7 linked regions of the Sus scrofa genome follow. The protein of the gene in region 4 interacts with the protein of the main gene of each other region in a pairwise test. Links are inferred from orthologs where the notes say so. Each region holds a gene or a part of one and is shown on either strand. Other genes may lie near its edges.

The links.
Region 1: the proteins of ARL6IP1 (region 4) and SNX12 interact in binary tests that used the Homo sapiens proteins (3 or more experiments, as listed by UniProt). The two-hybrid records come from large-scale screens. The link is inferred for Sus scrofa from reciprocal best matches to the Homo sapiens genes ARL6IP1 and SNX12.
Region 2: the proteins of ARL6IP1 (region 4) and SUCLA2 interact in binary tests that used the Homo sapiens proteins (3 or more experiments, as listed by UniProt). The two-hybrid records come from large-scale screens. The link is inferred for Sus scrofa from reciprocal best matches to the Homo sapiens genes ARL6IP1 and SUCLA2.
Region 3: the proteins of ARL6IP1 (region 4) and SNX10 interact in binary tests that used the Homo sapiens proteins (3 or more experiments, as listed by UniProt). The two-hybrid records come from large-scale screens. The link is inferred for Sus scrofa from reciprocal best matches to the Homo sapiens genes ARL6IP1 and SNX10.
Region 5: the proteins of ARL6IP1 (region 4) and FXR2 interact in binary tests that used the Homo sapiens proteins (3 or more experiments, as listed by UniProt). The two-hybrid records come from large-scale screens. The link is inferred for Sus scrofa from reciprocal best matches to the Homo sapiens genes ARL6IP1 and FXR2.
Region 6: the proteins of ARL6IP1 (region 4) and INPP5K interact in binary tests that used the Homo sapiens proteins (3 or more experiments, as listed by UniProt). The link is inferred for Sus scrofa from reciprocal best matches to the Homo sapiens genes ARL6IP1 and INPP5K.
Region 7: the proteins of ARL6IP1 (region 4) and TUFM interact in binary tests that used the Homo sapiens proteins (3 or more experiments, as listed by UniProt). The two-hybrid records come from large-scale screens. The link is inferred for Sus scrofa from reciprocal best matches to the Homo sapiens genes ARL6IP1 and TUFM.

The regions. Positions count from the first base shown.
Region 1 is NC_010461.5:57,105,837-57,110,051, forward strand, and holds the start of SNX12 (sorting nexin-12), read right to left. Parts: upstream 2,801-4,215; 5' UTR 2,677-2,800; coding exon 2,512-2,676; intron 1-2,511. UniProt on the Homo sapiens protein: May be involved in several stages of intracellular trafficking.
Region 2 is NC_010453.5:19,615,167-19,619,214, reverse strand, and holds the start of SUCLA2 (succinate--CoA ligase [ADP-forming] subunit beta, mitochondrial), read right to left. Parts: upstream 2,801-4,048; 5' UTR 2,711-2,800; coding exon 2,621-2,710; intron 2,198-2,620; exon of another isoform or gene 2,053-2,197; intron 1-2,052. UniProt on the Homo sapiens protein: ATP-specific succinyl-CoA synthetase functions in the citric acid cycle (TCA), coupling the hydrolysis of succinyl-CoA to the synthesis of ATP and thus represents the only step of substrate-level phosphorylation in the TCA.
Region 3 is NC_010460.4:46,064,075-46,067,029, forward strand, and holds the end of SNX10 (sorting nexin-10), read right to left. Parts: coding exon 2,775-2,955; intron 2,322-2,774; coding exon 2,240-2,321; 3' UTR 501-2,239; downstream 1-500. UniProt on the Homo sapiens protein: Probable phosphoinositide-binding protein involved in protein sorting and membrane trafficking in endosomes. Plays a role in cilium biogenesis through regulation of the transport and the localization of proteins to the cilium.
Region 4 is NC_010445.4:26,759,172-26,763,444, reverse strand, and holds the start of ARL6IP1 (ADP-ribosylation factor-like protein 6-interacting protein 1), read right to left. Parts: upstream 2,801-4,273; 5' UTR 2,722-2,800; coding exon 2,686-2,721; intron 1-2,685. UniProt on the Homo sapiens protein: Positively regulates SLC1A1/EAAC1-mediated glutamate transport by increasing its affinity for glutamate in a PKC activity-dependent manner.
Region 5 is NC_010454.4:52,900,458-52,904,543, forward strand, and holds the start of FXR2 (fragile X mental retardation syndrome-related protein 2), read right to left. Parts: upstream 2,801-4,086; 5' UTR 2,579-2,800; intron 1-2,578. UniProt on the Homo sapiens protein: mRNA-binding protein that acts as a regulator of mRNAs translation and/or stability, and which is required for adult hippocampal neurogenesis. Specifically binds to AU-rich elements (AREs) in the 3'-UTR of target mRNAs.
Region 6 is NC_010454.4:47,717,398-47,721,540, forward strand, and holds the end of INPP5K (inositol polyphosphate 5-phosphatase K), read right to left. Parts: intron 4,024-4,143; coding exon 3,837-4,023; intron 2,946-3,836; coding exon 2,808-2,945; intron 2,561-2,807; coding exon 2,222-2,560; coding exon of another isoform or gene 2,208-2,221; intron 2,028-2,207; coding exon of another isoform or gene 1,968-2,027; 3' UTR 501-1,967; downstream 1-500. UniProt on the Homo sapiens protein: Inositol 5-phosphatase which acts on inositol 1,4,5-trisphosphate, inositol 1,3,4,5-tetrakisphosphate, phosphatidylinositol 4,5-bisphosphate and phosphatidylinositol 3,4,5-trisphosphate.
Region 7 is NC_010445.4:18,521,906-18,526,187, forward strand, and holds the start of TUFM (elongation factor Tu, mitochondrial), read right to left. Parts: upstream 2,801-4,282; 5' UTR 2,514-2,800; coding exon 2,471-2,513; intron 2,368-2,470; coding exon 2,173-2,367; intron 1,701-2,172; coding exon 1,534-1,700; intron 1,322-1,533; coding exon 1,217-1,321; intron 1,132-1,216; coding exon 967-1,131; intron 849-966; coding exon 716-848; intron 629-715; coding exon 524-628; intron 417-523; coding exon 265-416; intron 172-264; coding exon 52-171; intron 1-51. UniProt on the Homo sapiens protein: GTP hydrolase that promotes the GTP-dependent binding of aminoacyl-tRNA to the A-site of ribosomes during protein biosynthesis. Also plays a role in the regulation of autophagy and innate immunity.

The sequences.
Region 1 (4,215 bases), on a different chromosome or scaffold from region 4:
AGCGACAATGCCAGATCCTTAACCTGCTGAGCCAGAAGAGAACTCCCAAAACCGACAATTGAAAAGCTCCATATATATCATGCGAAGTCACTAGGACATCTCTCCAGACTCTTTATTTCTTTGGGGGGGGGGGGTCCTTCCCTGAGCTATTATACAAAGAAAAAATGTCAGTACCATTTTCTTCTACCATACACAATGCCTAACTCTCAAAGCCCATTCTCTGAGTCTCAGGCTCCCTATAGTGCCTACCAATTTAAAACTGGATGATTTTACCAACTTTCCTCTTTTTTGATAAAATATTAAAATAGAATAAAATATTAAATATTAAAAGCCTATATAGCCATACAAATTAACATAAATACAAATTAACTCAAACCCACAGAATTAGGAACTGCAATCAACCCTATCATCGCTATACAATTTGTAATTGTGGAAAGGACTGATGAAAAGCTTAGTGGGTAGAAAAAAATTTGTACACTAAAGTTTTGCAACTAAGCATTGCCAAAGAGACTAAAGTGTAGTGGAAAGAGTATGATGGGCTTTGGATCAGATCAACCTGCATTCAAATCCCAGCCCTGCCACTTATTAGTTATGTGTACTTGGGCAAGTTAAACTGCATTCTTCCTGAGCTTCCTATCTGTAAAAAGGGTGTTTTTGTAAGAATTTGAAAACTAAAACTTGGAGTTTCCATCGTGCCTCAGTGGAAACAAATCTAACTAGCATCCATGAGGACACAGATTCCCCGGCCTTGCTAAATGAGTTAAGGATCCAGCGTTGCTGTGAGCTGTGGTGTAGGTCACAGACGCGGTTTGGATCTGGCGTGGCTATGGCTGTGGCACAGGCCAGCAGCAACAGCTCCGATTAGACCCCAAGCCTGGGAACCTCCATATGCCTCGGGTGCAGCCCTAAAAAGATAGAAAAAAAAAAAAAAAAACTAAAACGTAATTCAGTGCCTGGCTCACAGTAGGCACCAGATGAACAGTCCCTGCAGTTATTACTAGTCTGAAGAAGAGAACAATTCCGTTCATAATCCCTATGGTTCTTGGGTTATACATCAAGACAATGTCTTCAAAACCCTACAGCAGAGTTCTTAAAATGAACAAGTTACGCCCAGGCTTCCTCAGGTAATTAGGTTCTCTACCACTAACAATTCCCAGCTTTTATCATATTTTGAGGGATCTACCTCCCATTCTTCCCCAGAGAGATGATTTCGAACAGTCCTGATATAGAGAAGTTTTTCTCATTTTTTGCTATCAGCGTTTCTTCAGTTTGGACTTCTCCAAACTTGAATTTGGAGATGATCATTTCTCAATTTGATTTCAAAAACCCAGATGGGAGAGCACACTCTCTCATTCAATTCATTCAATCAAAAATGAAAGCACATACACTCTTTTAGGTCTTCAAATGCTGTTTGAGCAGCATGCTGTCCATAGAGAATATTCTGGCCCTCTAGTCTGAGAAGAAAACATAAGGAAAATTAGAAAACGGCTCTCAAACTTTTTGCCTGTAACCACTTCAATGGGGCCAAAGAACCTGCAAACCATGTACTCTGCACATTCCACCCTAGCGTTGTGGACTAAGAACTAGAGAATAAAGTCCTCTGTAGTGCACACTGGAAGAAGCCATTCCTGGGGCAGTCTTGAAATGTCAGATGTTAAAGTTAAATACAGACCAGGGATTAATATAATGAATCCAAAAGGTTAACCTAGAGCAGAAAGGGCAAACGGCCATTTATATACAGAAAACCCAAATGAGAGCCAGTAAATATTGAAATAAACATTCTGGATACTTCAAATCTAAAGGGTCAGCACAGGATGAGGGCAGCAACTAACAAGCCACCAATCTGAGTGCAAGGTCAGGTTTTCCAGTGAGCATGTAGTACCTGAGAAAACTTAAGCATAAAACACTTCTCTCCTTCAGATGTTAATTCTACGCAAGTCTGGGAAGCACTCAGTCCAAGGGGACTCTCCTAGAAGAGTCTCTCCACCAAGCCCACTGTCTTCCTTTCCTGGTGTCTCTCTTCCCTTTAATCCAGGCTCTGCTTAACGCCATCATCCAGGGAGACCTCATTAGGAGGAAGCCAGGCCTTCCGGTTCCCCCTCTTCAGGTTGACTTCCCACAACCTAGTTTAGTAATGGGACCCCCGCCTTGGCTTGCCATCACCAGCTCTTTTCCACTCTTCCTTAACCCCTTGTGTTGCTACAGTTCTGATCCCTATTTCCTTGAATATATCACTCTAATCCTCTCCATCCTCCCTACCGCCTTCAGTCATGCTTCATTTCTTGCTCATGGCTACTTGCTTTCCCTCAAGCCAGTCTGATGTCCCCCTCAGGAGTTTTCTGTATCCTCGGGCCACAACCGAATGTGCAGACCTCTCTGCAAACCTGTAACACCCCAACCCCCAAATGACCCCTCAAGTGCCTTCTCCACCATTAGCCGTCCCTATGGCAGCCTCCTCCCCGCCCAGCCGCCCGGTCCTCCCTCAGCTGTCTCCCTCACCCCGTGACTCACCCGCATGCGAACCTCATAGGTGGTGAAGCGCGCCCGGCCCACGCCCACCGTCTGTGGATTAAAGATGTCGATCTCCAGGAAGTTACTTGGCGGCCCGTAAGCGTCGGTCAGGTCCTGCGGCTTCGAGTTAAGGCGCCGAGTGTCAGCTACTGCCGTGTCCGACATCTTTCCGAAGGAGAAACCGGGACCGGGGAAGGGGGGGTGGGGGACAGAAGCCGGAGGCAGGAGCGCGCACGGCCCCTCCCGCTTGCAAAATAACCAGCCAACCTACTGACGGCGGCACCGCGTACGCGCGCCCACGCACGCACGCACGCACGCGCACGCTGCCGCTGCCCGGGGCCGGGCACTCTGAATAGCGGCCATGAGGTCGTTTGGAAGTGCTGTCGGAGGAGGCCTCATTCAGACTTCCGGGCGGTGTTACTGGCCGCCCCGGAACCTGCATTTCCAATACGCACACCCCTAGTGTCCTGGGAAGCACTATAGGCGAGATCCGCCAATCGCTGCTCCTCAGCCCAAGAAATTGTCTTACACCATGCGTCAATCTGCAGTGGGCACTGCCCCGCAAGCTTGGATTCTGCAGTGATAGGCCGAAGCCCCGTGACCTGAATAAGTACCGGTTTTGCACGAAAGTAGAAGGGTGGTCTCCGGAGGGTGGGGTTCCGACAATAGTATTAAGAACCTAGAACGCAGCCCAGCCACTTGTGCTACTGATAGTTTCAATTCATTTCACACGCAATTGAGCCCTATTTATGGTGCCAAAAAAGCAGTGAGCATGAGGTCAAAAAAGACGATTTCTCATTCTCACTTCTTAGGAAAATTTGGGCATATCTTTATCCTCCACTTGTTGCCACATAAAAGCTAATTTCAAGTGTTCTCAGCAAACCAAGGGCATTTCTTTCAATACCTTCTATTTCTATTCTGCAAAACTCCACACTTGGCACTCTGAGGTTGCTTGCTTGCAGCCCGTAATGGAGATAGAATATGTGTCTTCATGAGAATATCTATAGAAATACTAGTATTTATATGACAAATTTACACATAGCCCATTTAAAGGGAGTAGCGCCCATATCAATAGTGCTAATTTTAGGTCATCCTTTCTCCTCTTTGCACCAGCACTCTTCTGCTCAAAAAAAAAAAAAAAAAATTCCCATGTCATTTATGCCTGAAATTCTTTCAACGGAGTACAAGGTCCTATAATTTCACAATTAAGTTATTTAATTCAATTTAACTGATATCTCCTAAGCAACTACTCATGTGTCAGGCACCGTGCTAAATACTAAAGACCTAGAGTTCAGTAAGAGTCCCTGCCCTCAAGGAGTTAACATTCTAGAAAGGGAGATAAGTGAATAAAACTATGATAATGTGACAAATACAAAATAAATGAATGTTCAAAGCAGTGCAGAGGACATGAATACTTGGAGGAGTTAGGGAAGGCTTCCTGGAGGAGGAACTATGTGAGTTTGACACACATGAAAAGATGTAAAAGACAACCAGGAGTAGAAATGGGGAAAGGTAATTTCTTGCAGAAGGAATAGCATATGCAAAGGCATCCAGCTAAGAAACAGCATGATATTTTAGGAAATTGTCATCAATTCAGGTTGTGTAATGGAAGTACTTAGAGAGGTAGGCTGGCTGGGGATGGGCAGAAGAGGATCCTTCTATTTAAAGCAAAGGATCTTTGACTTTATGATGAAGGCAATAGGG
Region 2 (4,048 bases), on a different chromosome or scaffold from region 4:
GTTTTTTTAAGTATCTGAGGTATTGTGATAATCCTTTCTTTGTACCACTAGAAGTTACAACTTGAAATATCATCAGCTGTGAATTATGTTGGTAATACAAATCCCTGCACAATCACGAAGATTCTCACATTTAAGTATTTTTCTTTCCTGATACTGTCACTTAGAAGATCCTTAACTGCCAAAAGGCCACTAGAGTTCCCGTTGTGGCTCAGCAGGTTAAGGACACGATGCTGTCTCCGTGAGGATATGGGTTTGATCCCTGGCCTTGTTCAGTGGGTTAAAAATCCCAAACTGTGGTGGAGGTCACAGATTCGGCTAGAATCTGGTGTTGCCATGGCTGTGGCTTAGGCTCCAGCTGTGACTCCCATTGGACCCCTGGCCCAGGAACTTCCACAAGCCACAGGTGCAGCCATAAAAAGAAGAAGAAGAAAAGGCCACCAATTCCTGGTCAAATCCCTACCTACACCGCCACCCATCCAATCACATACCGAATTTAAATAATACTTATTCAAAAGTGGGAAAATGCAGTTACTAGGGAGTATGATTCACAACGAGCAAGAAAATTCCTTAAATTATTTAACATGCTCATAACTGAACTATTTTTATAAAATATACACTGGATGAAAGATACAGAGAAACTAGAAGAGGGTCAGAGAACTAAACAAAAATGTTTATGAGAATTTGCTAAACTCAGTGTGTAAACCTAGACAAGATTCCTTAGGCCCCATACCTCTATGTCCCCAGGTACAAAAGCAAGGGGCTAGACGGGAGATTTCCAACTCCAAAGCTGTACTATTTAATGTGAGCATGGAAAAGAAGAGAAGATGTTTAAGACAAAATATTAGGCATTTCTACATGGAGACACAGAGATTTTTAAAGGAACTTCCAAGAGGATAAAAACAATGATTAGAATGGAGACATATTTGTTCATCAAAGCCTCATAGTCTAAAACCTAGCTAGACAGCACCCTTTAAGACTCATAAGAAGGAAGCTCAAGGCCAAAAAAAGACATATCAGAAAGCAAACTCATAGAATTCACTATCTCTAGGTTGAAAGTACAAATATTTAAAAAGAAAAAAAAGTCTAAATCAATTCATTTATGGTATGTCTGAGGTTGCCTCAGAATACAACCTAAAACTCTGGAATTAATTCATGAAGTCAATCAACCCCCTCCCTTTTCTAGTGTCAATGTTGGAAGGAATGGTCCAATGTTTATGCTCTAGAAAAAACTGTAGAACAGATTCAAGCACACAGACTCCGAAGCCAGTTCTGGAAATTAAGCCATAACTCTGACCTTACCTGTGTGGTGACCTGGATTAAATTACCATTCTCTTAGCCACAAGTTCTCCATCAACAAGGTGGAGATTAATGACTTTTTACAGTGATGCTGAAAAGCCTAATGAGAGATACGCGTAAAATGCTTGGAACAGTTCCCGGCACACAGTATATGCTCCATACATTAAACTGAGCCCCTAAAACCAAGTTTCCTTAACGAATTTATGATTAATCTGTCTACCCCAATTTTTATTCCCTTTTTGTTCCCACCAATCTCTAACTGAACATTAATCAACCAGTCAGGTAACTAAAATTGCTGTCGTTGATAACATCACTAATGAACTAAACGTAATACTGCAGATGTCATCATTAAAGTACAAACTCAGGTTGTTTCTCCAGGTCAAGATGAGCTAATAGGCCCTGGAGCCACGGACCATTTGGCAAAAGAATCAGAAACAGGAGATAATCTGAGTCCCTGAAACTAGAATTTAAAAATGTCACAGAAATTACAGAAGCTGATGATTAATCCCAGCTTCTTTGTTCTTCCCCTTTAAAAACACTCCAACTCAAAGACCAAGCTGGAATAGATCTGTGACTTGTCTACCACTCCCTCGCTTGCACTCTGCAAATAAACCCTTACTTTGCTGCAAACAACCCCTTGCTCCTGTTACTACACACACACACACACACACGCACACGCACACGCACTACACACCCCACATACACCCCACCCACACTCCTAAAGCTAAAAGATTTTTCTTCCCAATTGGTAATTACCACTATTAAACAAAACAGTACACAGCTACTTGGAAGACATGAGAAACTTCCCGGCTGAGTCCCAGAAAAGACCAGTCAGCAAGCACTGCTGGTTATGTGAAGCCATTCCCATCTATGACAGCTCCTGAGGCACAAAAGTACATCTGAAGGGCATTCCCCTCCCAGCCCAAAGGCGGGCCGAAGAAGTCTCGGCGCACTGCGCCGGTCGCGGGAGCAGCAGGAGAAAGTGCTCGACCCCCGCCTCGCCACTAGCTACCCATCCTGGCTCTCCTCCGCCCCCTCGGAAACTGGACGAGCAGCCCGGGCCAGATGGCCACAGCTCTTCGCAGAATGAAGGCGGGGACAGAAAGGCGCAAACATGAGCCGGCTCGCGGTCTTGGCAGGCAGCACTCCCGGGCAAGCCTCCCGTGGGCCCGGAGTGGCATCTCTTGTCACCCAATGTCACTGACGGTGGGGTGACCCCGAGCCGGGCCCCGGATCCCTTCACACCTCGCCCACAGGTGCCAATCCCCCACGTCGCCCTTTCTCCTGCCGACCCTCGAAGCGAGAGCCGGCTCGACCGCAGTACCTGGGCGGCGGTCTGCAGTGCCGTCCGGGGTCGGTGATTCCTAAGGGTGGCGGCAGCCAACAGCCGGCTGTAGAACATGGAGGCCGCCATTTCTGAGTCTGACCCAGGCCCCCGGGCGCCGGGCGCAGGCGCAGAAGCTCGAAGCGACCAGAGACGCTGCGCCCCGGGACGCGCGCACCGCCCCTGGCCCCGCCCATGGGGCGGGGTCTCGGGTTAACTTCGCAGTGGCGGGACACCCTGGGCAGGCAAAGCAAGAATTGCTGCTGAGAAGCTGGGCTTGGCTTGCCCAGAGCAAACTTTGACCTTTGTAACCGGACACCGCAGCCTCAAGGTCCGACCTGCAGCCGCTGCTCAGCCACCGAAGTTTTCCTAGCAAAATGTAGTAGAGGGACCACCAGCGCCACCACCTGTGTGATCTTAACCTGAGCCTCAGGTGGTGCCCCCTCTGTAACTTGGGGTTCATTCAGAAAATAAGTACTGCAAGTCTGTTTTGTGCTGAACACTGCAGCTGAGCTTTGGGTTACAGCAGTGAATAAAACAGTGATTCTGCTCTCAAACAGAAGATGGACAGCCGCTAGTTACTGAGGACTGTAGCCAAGAGACAGTGTCTCAGTAGGAAAACCGCTCTGAAAAGGTACGGGAGTGTTAGTCCGTGTGCCTTATGCACAGTGAGGCCAAAATGAAAGGTTGGAGTTTGGAACAGAGAAAGGTTTATTGCAGGGCCAAGCAAGGAAAGCAGATGGCTGTAGCTGAAAAGACCCGAACTCCCAGATAGTTTTCAGGGAGTTTTTATAGGAGAAATTTGGGGTGAGGCCTGAGGGGTGGAAGGCTTTCTGCTGATTGGTTGGTGGGGTGATAGCAGGGTGCTGTTCCATGAATCATGGGCTGAGCCTGAAATTACCATACTCCACCTGGGTGGATGCCTTAGTTCCTACAGAAGAACTCAACGATGCTCTTAGGTTTATTTATTGAGGAGGAACAGGAATCCTGCTTTAGTGGCTACGCTGCAGTTAGCCACTGCAGTGCATTTCCAGTTAATGCACAGGAAAAAGTTTTTGTGCCCAGGATCTTGCCTGGTTTCAGGAGAAGCCAGGATGCAGGAAGATTTATGCTAAGAAAAAGAACATGAAAGTATTATGGCTGATCACAAAGAATAGACATCTCAAGTTAATGATTTTAGTACTTTTCTAGTTATGGGAAGATGCTGGCTTCATTGAAATTATTCCTTAGCTGCATCTTAACTCTCTAGGGCCAGTATCCAGAGAACAGAATGCTTCCTGTTTTCCATCCTGAATCCCACTCAGGGTGGACCACGGGGGAGGAAGATGTCTGAGACAGCAGTGGCCGATGATGGCTTGATCCTTTTCGAAATGAAAGGGTAGGTAACATTCTTTGTTCACTGGAAAGGCATGCAACATTCCCTGACCA
Region 3 (2,955 bases), on a different chromosome or scaffold from region 4:
TTCTCAAAAAGAACACATAAACTAGCTTTATAGGTGAATAGTCTTGCCCTTGCAGAGTCAGCCAGGGAAATAGCCAGTTTTGCTGTATGTAAATCATAAAGCATCCAAGATGAGGATTCTTTAAGTTACATTTAAAAGACTTAAATAACATCTATTCTATTTAGTTATTCAAGTAATTGTTTTCTTTTTCTCAAGAAAGCTTTATAAAAATATGCCAGAGGAAAGTAAGACTTGAACAAAGCAAGAAAGCCACTGGGGGCTGAAGTTCATTTAAATCTCTCAACTGCAGAAAATCAGTTTTAAGAAGCCAGTGCTTAGATATCAAAACAACCAAACCAAAGCTAAAAGCCTCAAATGTACACAACTATAGTGACTATTAACCAAGTTTTACCAAAATTATTCGTTAAAAATTACAGATCACTCAAAAACACACTGAATTTAGATCTAAGGCAGAAGAAATACATTCTCTTGTATAAAATAAGAGCTGCAACAAACCAAAGTTGATGTTTTCATTTTTAATGTGAAAATGATGACCTCATGAAGTTTACATACCAGAGTATTAGGCAATACTTAATATCAATTTTGATGGCTGTGGTAGCATCATCTAAACGTTATATGACAATTGGTGGCACGTAATATGCTTTTCAAAACTGCTGTAAAACAGAAATAACATGAATGCAAGTACATATTGCCAAGGAGCTGGGGACTGCACTCAAATGGGTGGCAAACCTTACATGTTAGCAAGATTAAAAAAAAAATTGCTGAATCTTTTTTTGTCCTGTATTAAACTAATATGTCTTAGATGGCAAAGTAATACGGTCCAAGATACATTAAATCAAAATATTTGCACAAAGTTCAATAATGTTTTAGACCAAACAGAAAAAACAAAAGGCAAAATTAAGGAAATCATTCGTATTCTAATTTTTTTTCTGTGGGTTCTTAGATAAAAGCATTTCAAAGACTTAAAATAATGCAGTAACTTTTAAATTCCTAGTTAAAATGAGGTGAGGTAACATTTAATTAAAGCAACAAGTTATCCCAGCTATGTAAAAATATCTTCCTGTTAAATTCAGGGATATTTTGTACCATTCAACAAGGAAGAAACTTAGACAATTATCTCAATAAAATTCTGCCTCATCTGAAATTTGCAGTTCAATGTAGTTTATCTAAGACACTTTATCTTTGGGCCACTAAAAAAAAGACATTTTTATCAAATTATACCAATCCTCAGGCAGATGCCATAAAAGAAAGGGCTTTTTAAAAAATTAATTAATTCTGAAATTAGCAAGTTCCTATCCTTTTCTAAATTATGGCAATATTTATTGGCAAAATTTATTAATGTTTTTAAGATCCCACTTTTAACTTAAAGATAAGGAACAATTAACCACCACTGACCATCACAGAAAGTTCTCTTGTGATAAGAAATTGCACATTAAGTCAGAAGATAAATCGTTAACCTGTAATTCTAATTACACACAGATAATGAAAACAAATTATTTGTTTCCAGAAACCACATGTGAAAGCTGATTCTGGACAATGCAAATGCATTTCTGAGTCTACATATTGCAAATATAAGCAAAATGTCTAGCACTATTTCTGGCTTTTTCTAAGATGTAAACATTATTTTAACATGTCTCTATTCATAAGATACATTTTCCATCTAAGTATGGAAGAGAATACTGGAAAGGTTAAATAAACACTCTTCAAATATTTCAGTTAAAGACCCCCCAAAGCAAAGCGTCTTCCCAAGGGCAGGGGAGGTACCCACAAAATACCAGCTGCCTGTCTGAGAAGCAGGCTGTCTGCCGAGGTGGCTAACGTCACACCTGCTGTGTTTCGGCCAACACCGCCCCAGCGAAACCAGCAGAAAGGCTCTATCTGGATTTTAAATGCTACCTACTTACCTATCTTTTAAAATGCAGTAAAATCAACTAGTTTTTTTTTTTTTTTTTTTTTTTTTAAACACATACATCCTTTCATTTGAGGGCAGGATCTTGTTTTACCAACAGTATGCGCCTATCAAGGGGAGTGCTGCATTCACAGGCTCGTAGCTTTTTACAGAAGCTTAGCCAAAGTGGGACAACATAAAAATACCACTAATAAACAACACAACATCTTTATGAATTTAAATACTTAACATGACAGGGAGCTTTAGGTAAGAAGAGAATATGCGCAAGCTTTCGTCTCTGCGACGGGACCTAATTTGCTATTCCTAGAATGGTAACATTGGAATTATTTTTCAGGATTCCTGCGGAGCTGTGATCATTTTACATCCGTGTGAACTGCTGTCATCACTACTGTGTCCGAACCCAGAGGATGAACTGGAAAAGAAGAGAGGGGGAAAATAATAAAAAGAGGAAATTGGTTTTCACAACACACTCAAAGGCTGAGTAACAGAGGAGAACTTTAATTATCTCCAGTCACAAAGAGAGACAGGAAATTTGGACTTTTAATTAGCCATTTGGAGTGCAGTTGGATATTTTTTTAGCTAGATAATTTAAACGCGAATAATTCAAGTCTGACTAAATGAAAGTCACATAATCAGAATGCAGATAATTGAATTTCTACCGCATTCATTAATTCAGTGTGGAGGTGTGTGTGAAGACTCCTATGATGAGCTGTCACAGCTCAATAAAATCTCAGTCAATTAATTTTTTCATTATCTTAGTATGACATCAACAAAAAAGTGAAGTGTGTATATATCTCCACACATGCATATGTGCACGCCGTGTCACATAAATACGTACACAGTGAATCAACATGCAAGGAGATACCTTTCTGAATCATAATCTATATCATTTTCTTTTTTCCCTTCCTCTTCTTCAGGGAAGCGTCTGTTCATCAAGGCAAACTTGTGAATTGCTTCTTCTACAGAGTACTTCGTCTGCCCAGAAACACAGGCCTCAATGTCTTCTGAATTCAGATGGCTCTGCAAGAAGAGGTGGAGGCTGCTGT
Region 4 (4,273 bases):
CATGTAAAAGAGCTCTTATAAATCACTATGGTTTTTTTGGCTTTTCAGGACCACAGTCATGGCATACGGAGGTTCCCAGGCTAGGGGTCGAATCAGAGCTGCAGCCACTGGCCTAGGCCACAGCCACAGCAATGTGGAATCCGAGCTGCATCTGTGACCTATACCACAGCTCACAGCAACACTGGATCCAAAACCCACTGAATGAGGCCAGGGATCGAACCAGCGTCCACATGGATACTAGTTGGACTCATTACCACTGAGCCACAATGGGAACTTCCACAAATCACTATCTTAAACAAGTTAGTCTTTAAAAAAAACTCTGCAGTTTTGATACCAAAGCCAGAAATTACGGGGGAAAAATTATCACTTAATGGTCACCTTCCAACTCTAAGCACTGGGCTATTCTTTATGTACATAATAACCCGTATAGAACCTCATAAAATAAGGATAATTAGATCCATTTTACAGTAAAAAGAAAGTGAGCTCAGAACGGTTGCTTTCCAAATTCTCTTGTGGTGCATCGAGTTAAGGCATTGTCACTGCAGTGGCTTTGGTTGCTGCTGTCGTGTGGGTTCAATCCTTGGCCTGGCCCGGGAACTTCCATACACAGGAGGGCACAGCCAAAAAAAAAAAAAAAAAGTTGCTTTCCCAAAGTCATGTCCTACTAAGTGGCAGCTTTCTGAAAATGAAATTACATCACTTTAAGTTTGCTCATTTCAGGTGGTTACAACTAATTTGTTGTTTCATTTCACTGACTTAACCCCCTACTTCTGAATCCATTAGGAAAGCCTCTTCCTGAAGAGCGGTTTCCAAAACAGCTCTCTGTATAATGGAATCATTTAGATGTTGGCATCATCTGCACAATTAGGAAAACTACGGGTGCTTTCACCAAATTATATGAGGCACAGTAAGCCCAATTTACCTCAATAAAATGCTTCTGACACTTAGCAGACATTGTGGTTAGACTTTAAATTTCTCTGCAAATCTGACAATCACCTGCAAGGAAACTTCTAGGATGAAGCCAATGTGACAAAAAGCCTTTAAACTGATTCTGGTAGAGGAAAAAAAAAAAAATTGGAAGAAACCCATGTATCCTTATGACTGTTATTATAGGGAGACAGGCAAATGATAGGAGACAGTGCCGCTTAACCTTGTTGAAGATGACATCTGTGGAGTTCCTGTCGTGGCTCAGCAGAAACGAATCTGACTAGTATCCGTGAGGACGCAGGTTTGATCCCTGGCCTTGCTCAGTGGGTTTAGGATCCAACACTGCTAAGAGCTGTGGTGTAGGTTGCAGACTTGGCTTGGATCTGATGTTGCTGTGGCTGTGGTGTAGCCTAGCCTGGGAACCTCCATAGGCCATGGGGGCAGCCCTAAAAAGAAAAAAAAAAAAAAAAAAAAATGCTGTGCCACACTGATCACTTAGGTGGAACCTCAATATTTCTGACTTTATATACTATGTTTAATAAGTTAAAAAAGATTATCATGTGCCAGAAACTCTGCTAAATGTTTTCTGTGTTTATATTTTAATCATTTCTCGTAACAAACTGAAAGGAAGATGTTATTATTTTCATTTTATAGATAAGGACACTGAGATACACAGAGGTTAACAGATCTGAATCTGGCAAATCCAAGGCCAAAGGCCTGTCCTTAAAGCCACACTGCTCTGCAGAGAGAGCAGCAGAGCAGAGCCCATATCGGTTGTCTCAACAGCTGTGTAAACTTGGGCAACTTCTTTGTGCTACAATCAATTCTTAAAACGAAGCTGGCTGGGGCTAACTAGGCTTACCACAGAGAAGAGGTTTTTGCTGTGTGTGTGTCATGGGGCAGAGGTCATACGTTTCTAAAAATCAATGCAAAACGAAAATCATGCACAATCAAAACTGCCCTGCAAAGTCACTTAATTCATTAGCACTCTCCCTGGGGAAAATGCAACGTAGAAAATGGACTGATCCTTCCTTCCCTTTTGCCTAGATCCTGCGTGATTCTCAGTGAGGTTAAAATTGTCTGCCTGTGATAGAACCTCACTGCATTTCCTTTAGACCCCTGCTTACTCGAAAGTCCTCCCGTGACCCTCCCCCTTCCCCAAAGGTTTATCAGTTACAGACTAACGCCGAGACCTCCCATAGTCCTTCCGGCTGGACTCTTACTTTCGGTTCCCAGCGGTGAGTTTGCAGCCTCGCTGCCGTGTTAAGCTGTGCCAGCTCTAACAAATTATCGGCAGCAACCCTTTGACCCTCAACCCCTGACCAAATACTGGGGAAAAGGGCGAAAGGATGTCCTGCTTAAGATGAAAGAGGGAAAACCCGGATACCGCTGGGGCCTGGGCCCCCCGAAGCACTCGACAGGGCACTCGCGGCCCTCAGCCAGTGACTGCACCCCAGGCGGGTCCCAGCCCCTCTTCTCTCGCTTCCTCCTCAACCTCTATTCGCGGTGAATGATCACGCGCCCTCGCTCCGTCGCGAACCGTCCCCAAGGGATGTTAGGCGTGGACACGACTAGTGACCGCCAAGCAAGGCTCACCCACGACATCCAAAGGGCAGGAGTCGTCGCCTGCACCTGGGCACCGGGAGAGGAGGCCGGGCCCGCGGCAGGTGATAGGAACGAAGCCGCAGCGCCGTCCCATGGAGCCTAATATCCAGAAACCCAGCGCATTTCCCTCACGACGAAGCCGCCAGGACTCACCAGCAGATTGGTGCTGCGATTATCTCCCTCTGCCATCGTCCCTGAGGTGTCGTCTCTAGGAGCGAAAGACGCCACAAAACCAAGAGCTCTCTCGAACCCCTTAAGGCTACCCTGGCATCAGGGTACGCCCCGCAAGCCGCTTATATAGGCTGGATGCCTTTCCCGACAGACCCCGCGAAGCTCGCTCCTCATTGGGCAAATCAAGATGAAGCTGAAGCCGGGGCGGCCAACCGCTGTCCAGCGCATGTCTTGAAACCGAGGTCAAAGGAGAGTGAGAACGCCGGGGCCGAGGAGGCGGGGACACTGAATGACCAATCAGCGCCCAGGAGGTGTGCGACGCCCCGCCCAGGCCTTTCAGAAGCGGTTGAACGGCCGCTGCCCGGGGCCTGGTGTGGCCTCAGTATCCCCGGGGCCTGTGGGAACCGTAGCTCTCGGACGCTCTTTCAGGGGGACCTCAAAGCAGCCAAGGAGACTCTCCGGAATTAGTCCTCGAGGAAATATGCCACCCAGTATCAGGCGGAAGGCAGAGGTGGTCATGTGACGCTAACTTCATTGTGATTAAGGGGGCCGGCTGGGATCCTCTTAACAGAAGCAGCCTGTGGCCCTCGCCCCAGCTGTTCCCCGTCGGCCCCGCCTTCTGATCCCTGCTCCCGCAGCCTTGAGCAGTTTAGCCTGGATTTATGACTCGTGCCCATCTCGTGAGGTTTCGCGGACAAATGAATAGGGCTATTTATGTAGATTTTTTTTCCGCAATGTTACTCCCCTTTAAGGCCTTAGTTTGATGGGGGTAGGAGAAAATCTTGGCGTAGTTCGACAACTTGTGAAAAATGCATTGACTTAAAAAAATCGGCTTGTTTATATAGGGTGTTTGGGGAAATTCTTTGTGGGGTAAACTACGAACTCCCTCTCCAAAAAGGGACTTGTTTTGACAGATCTTTTTACATTAGAGGTCATGCTAAGGAAAGATGTCAACTCTCTCATAAGGGTGGAATGAATTGGAATTTAAGAAGCAGATGAATGCCAGGGGAGCGGCCAAACAAAAACAAAAACTAGATGAGCTGTGTTGAGAAATCTTTTCTCTCCAGGACTTCACAAAAATGTATTTAAAAAATGCTTTCATTTTCATTGCTCGAAATATGCTAAATGTTGACCTGGTCAGATGTCTTTTTGAGGAAAACTTAGCATAGCTTTTAACTTTTTATAGTCTTCTATATTATGCCATCGTTTGTTTTTGGGTTTTTTTGGTATCTCATGTGGCATTTTTTTATTATACTATTAACCAATTGTGTTTTTTTTTTCCCCGCTGTACAGCATGGGGACCAAGTTACACTTACATGTATACATTTTTTTCCACCCTTTGTTCTGTTGTGATATAAGAATGTAAGTTTCTTTTTTTACTGTGAAAAAAAATAAAGCATCTGATCAGGTATAAACACTTGGAGGGAGATTAAAAAAAAAAAAAAAGCCTCTGCAAGGGAAGGGGACTGACTCTTCAGTAAAGTTCCACTTAGGGAAATGTTGGGGAGAAAAACAGGTTATGCAGGTAAAATGCAGCCAGTTGATATATCCCATTTGGGGAGATTTTAGT
Region 5 (4,086 bases), on a different chromosome or scaffold from region 4:
AAGATACCTTAAGTTCTGACAGAAGAGGAAGAGTTGATGGGATAGCTATAAGAAAACTCAGATCCCTAATCTGACATTTGCAGTTCTATCCTGGGAGAAGATCAACAACAAGACCCAATTCTGACACCGATGAAAAGAACCTTCCCAAATATATAGTTCCAGAAGCAACGTGAAGACTCCTTGAACCACAGTGAAGTTTGCTGAGTCATGAATATTAAATCAGTAACAAGGTCAGATTGGGTAAGTATCTATATGGCACTGAAAGTTGAAGAAAGCCTAGTCTGAATTTAAGGATCTATTGTTTTCAACTGCAGCGTGGAGCAGAAAATGCTAAGTGGCCAGAACACAAAATCCACATTGCATGGCTTTCAGTTCAACTCCGAACTCTACTCTCAGATTCAAAGCATCCTATCCCCAATTCACTCAATCACAACTATCACTGCCATAGCCCACAGGAAAAAAGGGAAAGATGTAGAGATTTTCTCTTGGACACTTGGATGTGGAAAGGACTTCCCAGCAGTCTCACACAGTTAATTTGAACTGGTTATCAATCTCTCCCGCTGTGCTTGGCTCCTATGCTTCTTAGAACAAAAGCAAACATCATATCTTGATCTCAGACTCAATTTAAGAATCCTTTTTCTTGGGGGTGCAAGGACCCAGATGCAGGACAAGATACTGTGGGAAATAAGGCTAAAATTTATTATTTCAACAAAGGTAATACAAGTTTTGGGGAAAAGGATATAAGAGACAAATGTACTCTATCAGAATCTGAAAGGAATTAAGAGACTTTGCCAAGGGAAACAAATGCAATAGAGGAAGGCTAGAAGAAAAAGTCCCATGAGTTAGGAAAGTATGTAGAAAAAAATGACAGAAGGGATCAGCTGGGAGCTTCCTTCTCCCATTTCAAGAGAGTAATGGAATAGGTAGTTCCTGGGATTACACAGGAATATAGAAATATTAGGATAAAAAAAGCAAGACTTAAATCGAGAGGATAAGATGGACTGTGGGTAACTAAAGGCACTGAAGAATATAAAGAAAAATGGTGAGGAAAGTAAGGCAGAAATAAACAGGCATTTGGACTCAGTTAAAAGATGACTACACTGAACTTACCAAGTGAAGCTGGGGCAGAAACTTTCTACTCCAAGGGCAAATATGAGACCCTTTCCAGTTATAACAAGATATGACTTCACAGGGAAGGAGCTGGAGAAAGTCATTTCCAAGGGCACAAAGCTGGAGACGTCTCTTATAGGAGGAAAAGCTTGGGGGAAATTGAAGGAAAGGGGGGCTCTTCTCCTCAAAAGTGATGTTACAAAAAGGTATCTCTGAGCTTGCTCCTCAGGGTAAAAGAAAGACTAAGACAGGAATCAGGAAAGTCTCTGGAACAATTGCAGGCATAAAGTCCAAAGAGGTTCAAAATAACAAGAGTAAGATCAGTCACATAAAGAAAAATGCCTGAGAGGCAATTGGGGTCTCCCTCTGGCTTAATCTAAGTGGGAAAACCCCTCCTACAAAAAAAAAAAAATGGATTCAGAACAGATAAAGAAGGCGATAATAAAAGGAGTTCTAAAAAACCAAATCCCAGGCAACGGAGGGAGCTGAAATAAGTAAACAATGATCTTTTAAAGATAGTCAGCTGCTCCTAAAAAAAAAAAAAAAAAAAAAAAAAAAGGAAAGAAAGAAAAAAAAAGGCTATCAGATTCCCAAATTGGGTGAGTTGGCTAAAAGTCTTCCAGAAGTGGAAAGAAATGCTTTAAATAAACAGAGAATCCTCATGAGAGCCCCTTTTAGAGATCAGGGCTATGAAGCTCACACTCCTTAGGATGAAACTATCCGAAGGATCTAAATGTATCCGAGGTCAAAGTGAGATGACAAACACAAAACCACCCCTAGGGAGAACGGTAGACCAGCTAATCTTGGAATAAAGGGGTGGGGTGAGAGACTTGTGAAAAGATGCCACCTTATGGCTACGAGGCAACTTGACTGGTACAGCCCAGAGTTCCTGAGGTCAAAGATACTAAATGTCATAAACAGATTCTGACCGTTTCTCCTTGGGTTGGGAACAGAAATATAAGATGAAAGTGGGGTGAGTCTTTCAGAGCCAGTAGGCAGAGGCCTCTCCGAGGAAGATGAAAGGATCTAATATGGGACGGCCTTCCCAAGGGGGCAATAGGGGAGAATAAAGAGAATTCTCCATGTGCTAGGACTGTGGGGAAGACGTGATGAAGATCTAAGGTATGTCTTCTACTAGGAGACAGGAAAAGTCAATGAGACGCTGGGTAAATGGGGTCTCTTCTGGGAGGTGGGGGGGGGGCGCTGATCTAAGCACAATTAATACCCTGATGTTCTTTCCTGAGATGCGGGTGAAGGCAGGCGGAATAGACGGGCCAAACATAAGACGAAGGGGTTTAAGTTCCAGAGGTCTCCCCCCCCACCACCCCGAGGGCTGCGGGTGGGAGCAGGTCTAAGGCTCTAAGGGTCGGGGCTTAGCTCCAGAACCTCAATGCCGCCCCACTCTTCCCCGCTCCGGCTGGAGAGAAGGGGCTGAAGACCCGCGTTCCTGGCCGGCGCGCCGCCTCACCTTGTAGAAGGCCCCGTTGGAGCCGCGCACCTCGACGGGCAGTCCCGGCTCCACATCCCCCCCGAGGCCAGGCCGCCCATGGCGCCGCCACCGCCTCCGACTCCCCCGGCGGCGGCTGCAGCAGCGCTCTGAGTACGGGCCGGGCCAGGTCCCCGGCGTCTCCCCGGAGGAGGAGCCGGAGGGGGAGCCGCGGGGGGCGGGAGCCGGGCCGGCCCCACGGCGGCCCTGCCACAGCCAACGAGCAGGGGGCCGGGGCCGGGCCGCTCCCCGTCCGCCGCCGCCGCCTTGGTCTCCGCCACCGTGAGGGAATCGGCCGCCGCCGCCGCTGCCTTCGTCACCTCAGCTTCCGCCCGCCGCCGCCCCCGCTGCTGCCTCAGTCCCGGGACCCGCTGCTGCCGCTGCCGCTCCACGGCCTCCACCTCCCCCTGCCGCCGCCGCCTACTGCGCAGGCGCACCGGGCACCCGCCCGCCGCGCGCGGGCCCCGAGGGCCACGGCGCAGGCGTCAAGGCTGGCGACCCAGCTCGCGCTCGCCAGCGCACCAGGGCTTCCACACTTCTTTTCACTCTCTCGCGCCCCCTCCTGGTCGCGTACTTGCGCTTGCGCAGAACCAGACTGGCTCTCTTTCTCCGTCCCCCCCACCATTCCACCGCCCCCATCTCTTCCTTTCCCCGCCCCACAACACTGAGAGCTAACCAATCATGGGGAGGGAGGGACCGAGCTCACTCAATCGGATTGGATTTCTGCTGCTCCAGGTCAGACCACACCCCCTTCACCACAGTGCACTCCACCGGGCTTGAACAAGTTAGGGATGGGCATGCGCCTGAATGATTGCTTGGTCACTTTCCCCACCTTTGTCTTTCTTGGTGCGCACGCTCCAAATGGGAAAAAAAAAAAAGTCGAAATGCCCCCCCAAAAAAGAGCCTGGTGCGCATGCGCCGGGTTTTACGGTCCACACGCCAGTCTGGACTCTTCTGATCGCCTGTAACTGTGCGATGAGGTTAAAGTCTTCTTGCCTTAAGAAGATTCTGATCATGCATATGATGAAAGGTTAGAAAAGAATTTCAAGGCAGTACCAAAAGGCAAATGCAACTTAGGTTATTAGCACAAGATTTGAATCTAAGTGTTGAGGATATTCAAAATAGGAAATATTAGTACAGAGAAAGGATGGTAGAGGGAAAACTTTGGATTCTTAAACCAAGGTAAGTAAGAAATTTAGGTAGAAGTGAATAAAATAGCCCAGAAACTAGAATCCTGTGTTGTACAATTAATCATTTAACAAATATTTATTTAGCCCTCCCTGTGTTCCAATTACTGTGTTAAGTGGTAAAGATACAAAGACATAACGTCCCCAAAACAAGGATTTTATAACATATTGAGGAAGAGGCAGGCAGTTAAACAAGTTTAAACAAACAAGCGCATGGAGTCCATCTGAAGATGTGATAAAGGAATACAGTGGTGCAGAGGAGCAGAAAGAACATGTCCTTTGGGGAACCACAACTAGTTCAGA
Region 6 (4,143 bases), on a different chromosome or scaffold from region 4:
TGTGCCTGTGAGAAGTGGGCAAGTTCGAGGGCTCAGGGTTCCTTGGGTGTGCGTGTGTGCCGGGGGCAGGGACAGAAGTTACCATGGGGACACCGGGGCAGAGGGATCTGGGGAGAGGAGGGGCAGAGAGAAGAGATGGTGAGGTGTTTGGAGACCTTAACCCTGGGCCAGGGCTTCAGACTAAGGAGGGAGGGAGTGCCAGCTGGGGAGCGAGGAACCGCGAGAGCAGAGTGAGCACCTTGCTGAGAGCTCAGTCCCAGGAAACCCATCCTACCTACTCAACAGCAGAGTAAACCAAGTACCCAACAGCGTAGGTGACACGCCCCACCTGGGCCAGGGACCCAGAGGGCCACCATCCCAGAACCTCAGCCCATTCCCACCTGGGCAACATGTGTCACTCTCAGACACAGTCTAGCCTGGACGACAGGTCCCTCGTCCTGGGGTCCAGCCAGGGCCCATTACCGTGTGCCCGCTCCCAGCACCATCATGACGGAGTCACGTGCATTTGTAAAAGCCATGTTTCTAATTATCCACCAACGCAACAGCCACAGAACACAGATTGGCCATGGCCTGCTAGAAGCCAGAGGGACAGTTCTTTTTTTTTTTGCCCCCCCCCCCGCCCCTAATGGCATATGGAGTTCCCCGGCCAGGGATCAGATCCGAGGCACAGTTGCTACCTATGCTACAGCAGTGCTGCTGGATCCTTAACCCACTGCACTGGGCCAGGGATCGAACCTGCATCCCAGCGCTCCAGAGACACCGCTGATCGCACTGCACCACAGCAGGAACTCCGAGAGGGACAGTTCTTGATGGCTCCCAGGGTGGAGTAAGAATGCAGGAGTGTCCCTCGGTTGCAGGTGGTAGGATGGGAGTGACAGTCACAGAGCAGGCTCCCTGAGGTGTCTCCTCCAGGGAGAAGGGCCGTTGAGTCACCAGAGGCTGAAGGCAAATGGTGGGAGTGGGGACAGGCCAGGCCCATGCAGCACCTGGAGAATGCTCTCGGAAGACCCCCGGGGCCAGATTCTCCACAACGGCTGGATTCTGGCTCTCCTCTCCACCTGCCCTCACTCCGAGGTCCCACAGCGCTCTAAAGAGAGAGCAGGGTTCTGGCCGGTGACAGCAGGTAAAGGTAGGGGCAGATGAGCTGGACTGCGCAAGGCCCACCCTGTGAAAGTCTGTGGCCACAGCTCCTCTACCACCTGCCAACACTTCACGGGAGGGCCGGTTGGGGGCACGGAGGCTGATCCACTAGCAGAAGTGAACCAGGGTCCTATTCTCTGCTCACACCCTGGAACTTTCTGGGTCAGACTCTAGGGGTGAGGATGGAGGTGCTGGCGGAAGGACACCATCAGCCTGCCCACAAGCCCTACGTAAGAGCCTGGGTGGAGGCCCCCCTCCATCCTGCCTACTTAGTCATTTGCTTCTGCAGAAAGCAGGGACCCCAGACCCTCTGCCCACCCCTCAGGGGGACAGGCAATGAGATACCAAGACTCCTAGAACCCAATGCTGCCTTCGCCAACCAGTCTACGCAGTCTACACAAACGTGAGCATCTCCCCCTCCCAGGCAGCCTAAGGCCCAGGGTGGCGTGACAAGAATGCGGGCCTGTGCCAGATGGGGCATGTGCCCGGCAGGCCTGCTTGGGCAGGACTACAAGTGTGTGTGTGGGGAAGATGGAGAAATGAGATGCAAGCTGGAGGGTCCTTCCTCCAGCGGACTGTCTAGAGCTTCACTGCTGACAAACTAGCTGGTTTCACTCACACCTGAGCCACAGAAACCTGTATTGAAGGGGCTGATCCTGGAGATCTGGACTGCGGAGAGGGAGGGAGTGTGGCTAGAACTCGCCCTGGGAGGTGGAGGAGACTTGCAGCCTCCTCAGGGGGCAGGGCTGGGCCCCCAGTGCTCCTGGCAGTGAAGGCAGAGCTGGCAGCCAGCGCCGGCCTCCGCCCGGGTTCACTCGCATCCTGGCTCAGATCTGTGGTTGGGCTTCATCCAGTGAGTCCTGCTCCAGGAAGGAGCGAGGCTGGATCTGCAGGAATAAAACAGGCGGGGAGCGCAAGGGGCCACCGCAGGCTTTTGCTCTGGGCCTTCCAGGGGCCCCATTCCCCAAAGGATGCGTGGGGGAGGGCTCCTCGGCCGGGGGCCTGGGGGACGACGATGGGCTCAAGTCTTCAGTGCCGCCCCTCTCTCACTCACCAGCGTCCCTTACCTTGAAGGGTCTGCTTATCCCCACCACAGAACGCAGGCTGTTGCTATAGTAAAAGAGGAGAAACCCATCCTCAGTCTCAGGGATGTCGCTGAGGCTGATGTATACCTGTGGGGGCGGGGACAGACAGGAAGGGGGTCAGGCCCACAGCCCCAGGCCCAGCTCTCAGTGACAAGGGAAACTGGCTCTGTTCCTTCCAGAAGACAGCAGCCCTCAGGCAAGCCTACCTGCTGGAGGCGCGGAACACCTAGCTCAGGAGAGGGGGCAGGTACCTGGTTCAGCTGGTCGCCGAAGGAGACCTGGTTGTCCCCGACCCAGACATATGACACATAGTCATTAATGTGGCGCAGCCCCACCTGTGGGAGGGGGATCAGGGGGTCAGTGGTCTGGGAGGACCCAGGCCCCACGTCATATCCTAGGGAGAGGGTGGTCTCATTTCTGGGGCTGATCCTCTGCCTCCTCGGTGGGCAGGCACCCCTGGGGTGGAAGAGGGAGCTCCTTAGTCTCTGTGCCCTGCCCCGCCCCCACGAGCTCTTAGACCCCGGGGTGGGGGCCGGGGTGGGGGCGTGGCCGACACGCTCCCTGCCCCGCCCACAGCATCACCTTGTACAGTCCGATCCAGTCCCAGGGGCTGCTGAGGAAGTCCGAGGCCAGGGAGTAGCTGATGAGCAGGTCGCTCTCGGTGGTACACGGGCCCTCGGGGAGCAGGGTGATCAGCGGAGCAGATACCAGCGGCTTCAGCTACACACAGGGGAAGGGGGGTGAAATCCCACAGCATCATTCCCTTCTCAGAGAGAAACAGTCCATGCTGGGGCCTCCCAATAGGTCAGGGTCAGTGCGGGGAGGAGGGGCACCCAGGGTGCGGGCAGAGATCTCCGCAAAGCTGCCCTGAGGGCATCAGACCTTGGCTGGCCAGCTGGAAAGAAAGGGCCAAAGGCTTGTCGGACAGACAGCTGGCCCTGCCAGGGAGGATGGGACTGGGGCCAGATGGGTAACCGAACAGACAGCCAAGTGCTGAGGGGTGAGCGTGGGGGTGGCGAGGTCTGGGGAGGGTGGGGGGTTGCTGACAGGTGAGAAAGACGCTGCTCTCAGGCCTCCAGGGTTTCCGACCCAAAAGGTGCAAACCCAATTTGGGGGCCTCTGGTGAGCACAGCTACAGGCACAGGGAGTCATGATGGGATAAAGATGGACAAATAGCATGGACAGGTGAAGGCTGAGGGCAGCCACAGCTCAAAGGAGGTCAGCAGCAGCACCCTGGCCATCAGATGGCCATTACAAGCACAAGGACAGAGGGGCTCCCTTCGCAACCTGAGCCAGATGGGTTTAGGACAAATGAAAGGAAGTCCTACCTCACCCAGTAGGTAATAAGCATAATGGACCTCAGGAGCCCCAAGGGACAGAACCAAGAGGAAATGGAAACCTATTGACAAAGGGTTTCAACAGGTTTTTGACAGACAGAGCCATCAACAAGAAGAGCCGGGACACCTGAGCTGGGAGGCAGGGCAATCGTGTCCTCCCACAGGTCTCCCCTGGGGGATCTGCTGACACTGCAACCAGGGCGGGAGGGTTTGGGGACATGGCCCAGGGTGGCTGCTCCTCTGCCAGGTGCTGCCAGGCGGCTGGGCCGTTTACCTCCAAGTCAAAGGTGCCGGTGACAGGCTTGTGGTCACTGATGCTGTACATCATGTGGCTGACGTAGCTCCTCAGAACCAGGGAGAAGTGGGGCCCTGGCAGTGTGGGGGGGTGGCAGTCGGCCTGGGGCTGCCGCTTCAACCTCCAAAGGATGCGGTCGGTCCACGCAGGCTTGCGTTTTTTCTCACTGGGGGTGGGGGCAGAGGAAGGATGGGAGGAGAGGGGTCGGCACCCCCACGAGCTTAGAGGAGCCCCGCATGGCGGCAGGGGTGCCCCGTGGAATCAAGAGCATGCGGGCCTTTGTCAG
Region 7 (4,282 bases), about 8.2 Mb from region 4:
TCCAGCCTTTCTTCACCAGGGAAAAGTCACCCACATTCACATGTGCCCTACCTTCCCCTGTGGCAAGATGATCCGACAGGCCATGTCCCAAGTCAGGGAGAACATGACAGGCATGAAATGAGACACAAAGGGCTTGTGGCGGCCACCCTCCTCCTTGCTGAGGATGTAAACCTGTGAGAGAATGAGGGAGCAGCTGGGCTTGGCTGGAAGCACCACATCTGCCCACAGTGCCCGGCCCATCCCCACCCCGCCCGGAGCCCTCACCTGCGCTTCCACCTTCTGGTGGGTCTGGATGGAACCCGGCTTGGCCATGACCAGGCCACGCCTCAGGTCCTCCCGCTTCAAGCCTCGGACCAGGGCCCCCAGGTTGTCGCCGGCCTCCGCCCTCTCCAGGCTCTTGTGGAACATCTCAATGCCTAGGAGGGAGGAGAGACGAGGGAGGGTGTGGGGCAGAAGGAAGGAGCAAGTGGCCCACAAGGGGAGAGGGCAGCCTGGAGCCCCAGGGGCCCAGGGCCTCCTGTACCTGTCACCACAGTGCGAATATTCTTGCTATGTCCCAGGAACTCGCACTCATCTCCCTTCTTCAAAATACCACGCTCGAGCGTGCCTGTCACCACCGTGCCTCGGCCTGGGAGGGGACAGGACAGGACAGGACATCAGGGACCCTGGGCAAGCTTCTGCGAGAAGAAGGAATGTGAGCGAGCAGAGTCCTCACCAGGGATAGAGTACACAGACTCCACAGGCAGCAGGAAAGGCTTCTCCAGGTCCCGGGTGGGCACTGGGATATAAGTGTCCACAGCATCCAGCAGCTTCTGCACAGACTTCAGGCCTAACTCAGGGTCACGTTGCTACGGGCGGGAGGTAGACAGGACCCTGAAACTTCCATTCTGCTCCCCTTAACTTGCCGAGAGCCACTCCCCAGACTCAGAGCAGAGCTCGGGATGCCCGGCCTGACCCCGCCTTCACCTCAAGGGCACAGAGGGCAGAGCCCACGATGATCGGAGTCTCCTCCCCTTTGTAGCCAAACTCTGTGAGCAGTTCCCTGATCTCCAGCTCGACCAGCTCCACCATCTCAGAGTCCTGAACGGCGTCCGCCTTATTCACATACACCACCACGTGCTCCACTCCAATCTGCAGGCGGGAGAGGGAGCAACGGTGTTGTGAGTGAAGGCTCTGCCCTCTTTCCTCCTTCCACCCATACCCTGGCTCTGGGTACCTGCTTGGCCAGTAGTAAGTGTTCTCGGGTCTGGGGCATGGGGCCGTCGTTGGCTGCTACCACCAGGATGCAGCCGTCCAGCGGGGCAGTACCTGTGATCATATTCTGGGTGAGGAAAGGAGAGAAAACTGTAGTTCAGTGACTTGGGGTCCCACCTCCCCCTGCCACCTCCACTGGCCAGGCCCCCAAATCCATGATCTCAAACCCACACATCTTGGCTCTCTTAACCTCCTCCCCACAAGCCTAACATTGTTCCCGATGGGGGGGGGGGTGCGCGGGGGAGCAGTTCCAGGGCCTGCCCCCAGCAGCTCTCTCACCTTAACGTAATCTGCGTGACCGGGGCAGTCTGTGTGGGCATAGTGGCGGTTGGCAGTGCTGTACTCCACGTGGGCCGCATTGATGGTGATCCCTCGGGCTCGCTCCTCTGGGGCGTTGTCGATCTCCTCGTACTTCTTAAACTTGGCCCCGCCTCCCTCGGCTAAAACTAACGGGAGGAGAGCACACCTCTCAGCTAAGGATCTGATCTGGAGGGAGAGGCAGGGCTCAGACCACACCTCTGGGCCCCTCCCACCCAAACGGGAGACAGCCTGGGAGAAAGCAAGCTTCCAAGACCTTCGTCTTCGACTCCTGGAACGGAAATAACTTCACCTTTTAGGGCGTCAAGGGTCAGCCCTGGGACGTCTCTAAGGTAACGCTTCTGCTTTACGGGGCACTCCTCCGGGCTGGAGGGAGGCTATTCGGGGTCCCCCCATTTATGCATCACAAAGTTCTTCATTTCGACGGGAAGTCTTGTCTCCCCAGTCTTGCAATCTACCGCCCACCCAAGGTGAGGCTCCTGGGGCCCATGCTAAACACCTCCAGCAGCGTTCCGGCGGGCCCCACCTCCCCGGCGCCACGTCCCGCCTGCAGAGCGGGCGCTGCCGAATGCCCGACCCCCCCGCCCCAAATCCGCTTACTTTTCGTGATGGCTGCGGTCAGTGTGGTCTTGCCGTGGTCCACATGGCCGATGGTACCCACGTTCACATGGGGCTTGTCGCGCACATAGGTCTTCTTGGCCTCCACGGCCAGGCCGCGGCACAAGAGGGGCAGTGCCGGGGCCTTCAGCGGCCGCAACAGACCCTGCAACAGTGATGTTGGGCCAGCGCCGAGACCTGCCGGGGCAGAAGCTTGGCGTCAGGGCGCGGGTCTGAGCCTGGCCGCTCCCGACGATCCCCGTGTACTCCCGGGCCGCCATCGCCCTCCCCGCCCCCTCACCGCTGAAGAGGGGCGTCGCGCGCAGCAGGGTGGCGGCCGCCATTGTGGTCTTACGAGCGCCGGGAACAGTGGGTACGGCGCACGGACCCCGGCGCGTGCACCAAGCAAAGGGCAATTGAGGCTGGAAGCGGCTTCCGGCGGAAGTGAGGGCCGAGAGGGCAAGTTTGGGCACTTCTAGCCCCGAGTCTCTATGACCCTCCCTGTCAACTTCCGGGCTCGGGACCGAAGACGTCCAGGAAGACGCTGGTGCCTCTGGGGTGGGGAAGGATGAAGAAAGTTTCCCAGACGCCCCTGGCCTTCGCGGGTTCAGGGGCCACGCAGTTCTCTCTGGTGGCGCCGGGGGGCGATGAGCGCCGCAAAGCACACCTGCGCCCCGGAGGCTCATGGGAGTTGTAGTTCCCAGGGCGACAGGCTGTGCGGGCACTTAGCGTGAGAGTTAGGGAGACCGAGGCTGGGTACGTAAGGACGGTCTCGACCCTCTTTGAGGCAGAGGCGGCGGCCCGGATGTGGCTGACCCAGGAACGTCCTGGCCCCGAACCCCGTGGAGTCCCACCCACTGCGCGTGTCTGGCGACTCATCTGGTGGCCAGATCTCGCAGCTGGAGGTAGGACCAGGCCCTGCAACTCTGAGGGGGAAGACGATCCTGGGAGTCTTTCGGGGTTGGGGCTCTAGTGTGATCCTTCTCTCCGCTGACTCTTTGTTTTCTCATCTATAAAATGGAAGTAGTAGTATCTGCTTCATGGACAGATCCTGGCGTCTGGGTCTGAAAGGAAGGGAGCTAGGTAGGAGGCGGGAACGGGGTCCAGAAGGCTCCAGGTCCCACGGTCTTTGACCCTCGCTCCTGGCTCGCAGCCTGCGGAGACAGTTTGCCGTCCACCCCTGTTGCCTCTCAGCAGCCCAGGGAGTAATTCCCTTGATCGTCGTCCCCCCCAGCCACCCAGTTTTATAGATGACCAGGTAAGGGACCAGCCTCTGGTGCCTTTGAGGGCAGCCTGAGCCTGTCTTGTTCCGGCTGTGTCCCTGGCACCTACCACTGGGCGGGGCACTCAGTGAGTGCTCAATAAATGTCTGTTGACTGAATGAATGAGTGCAAGGATAGCAAATGACCTTTAACTTTCACATCCATCATCTCATCACCTTGCAAGGATAATAGCAGCTGCTTAACCTTGATTAATGTTTCTGAAACTCATCAGATCCCAAGACTCAATTTACGGTGTCTGTTTCAAATAGATTCCTTAATTCCTCCTTGGAGATTATGATTCAGTAGTGTCTGGGCACAGACAAGAAAGCTATATTTATTCATAATACATATATACACCCTTCTTAGGCTTAGGGGAGGTTGGAAAATTCAGATCTAGAGCTTTTTTATGGATCAGGCACTGTGAAAATGCTTCATATTGGTTCACATTCAAAGTGCCAAATGTTATTCTGTGGGAATATTATTTCCTCTGTTTTACCAGTGAGAAAACTGGCATCAGGATGATTGAGGAACCCAGCCGAACTAAACTCCAAGAAAGTGTGCACTTAGCCAATGTACTATTCTGTAATTTAACTGTCATTTTTACAATGAGAAACATGCCAAGATGTTTGTCCTCCTGTCCTTCCAAACCCATCAGCTCTCCTTAAGAAGGGCTGGTACAGTATTAAAAGGGTTCCCAGCCCGTACCTCAGTCACTATGCTCCTGGGAATTTATCCTAAGACACTGTTGGCCACTACCAGGATGTGAGATTTTTAGGAATGGTACTTGAACTAATGCTTTCTATTCTAGTGCTATGTTGTTGTTGTTTTTAATTTTAATATTGTGTTTTTAG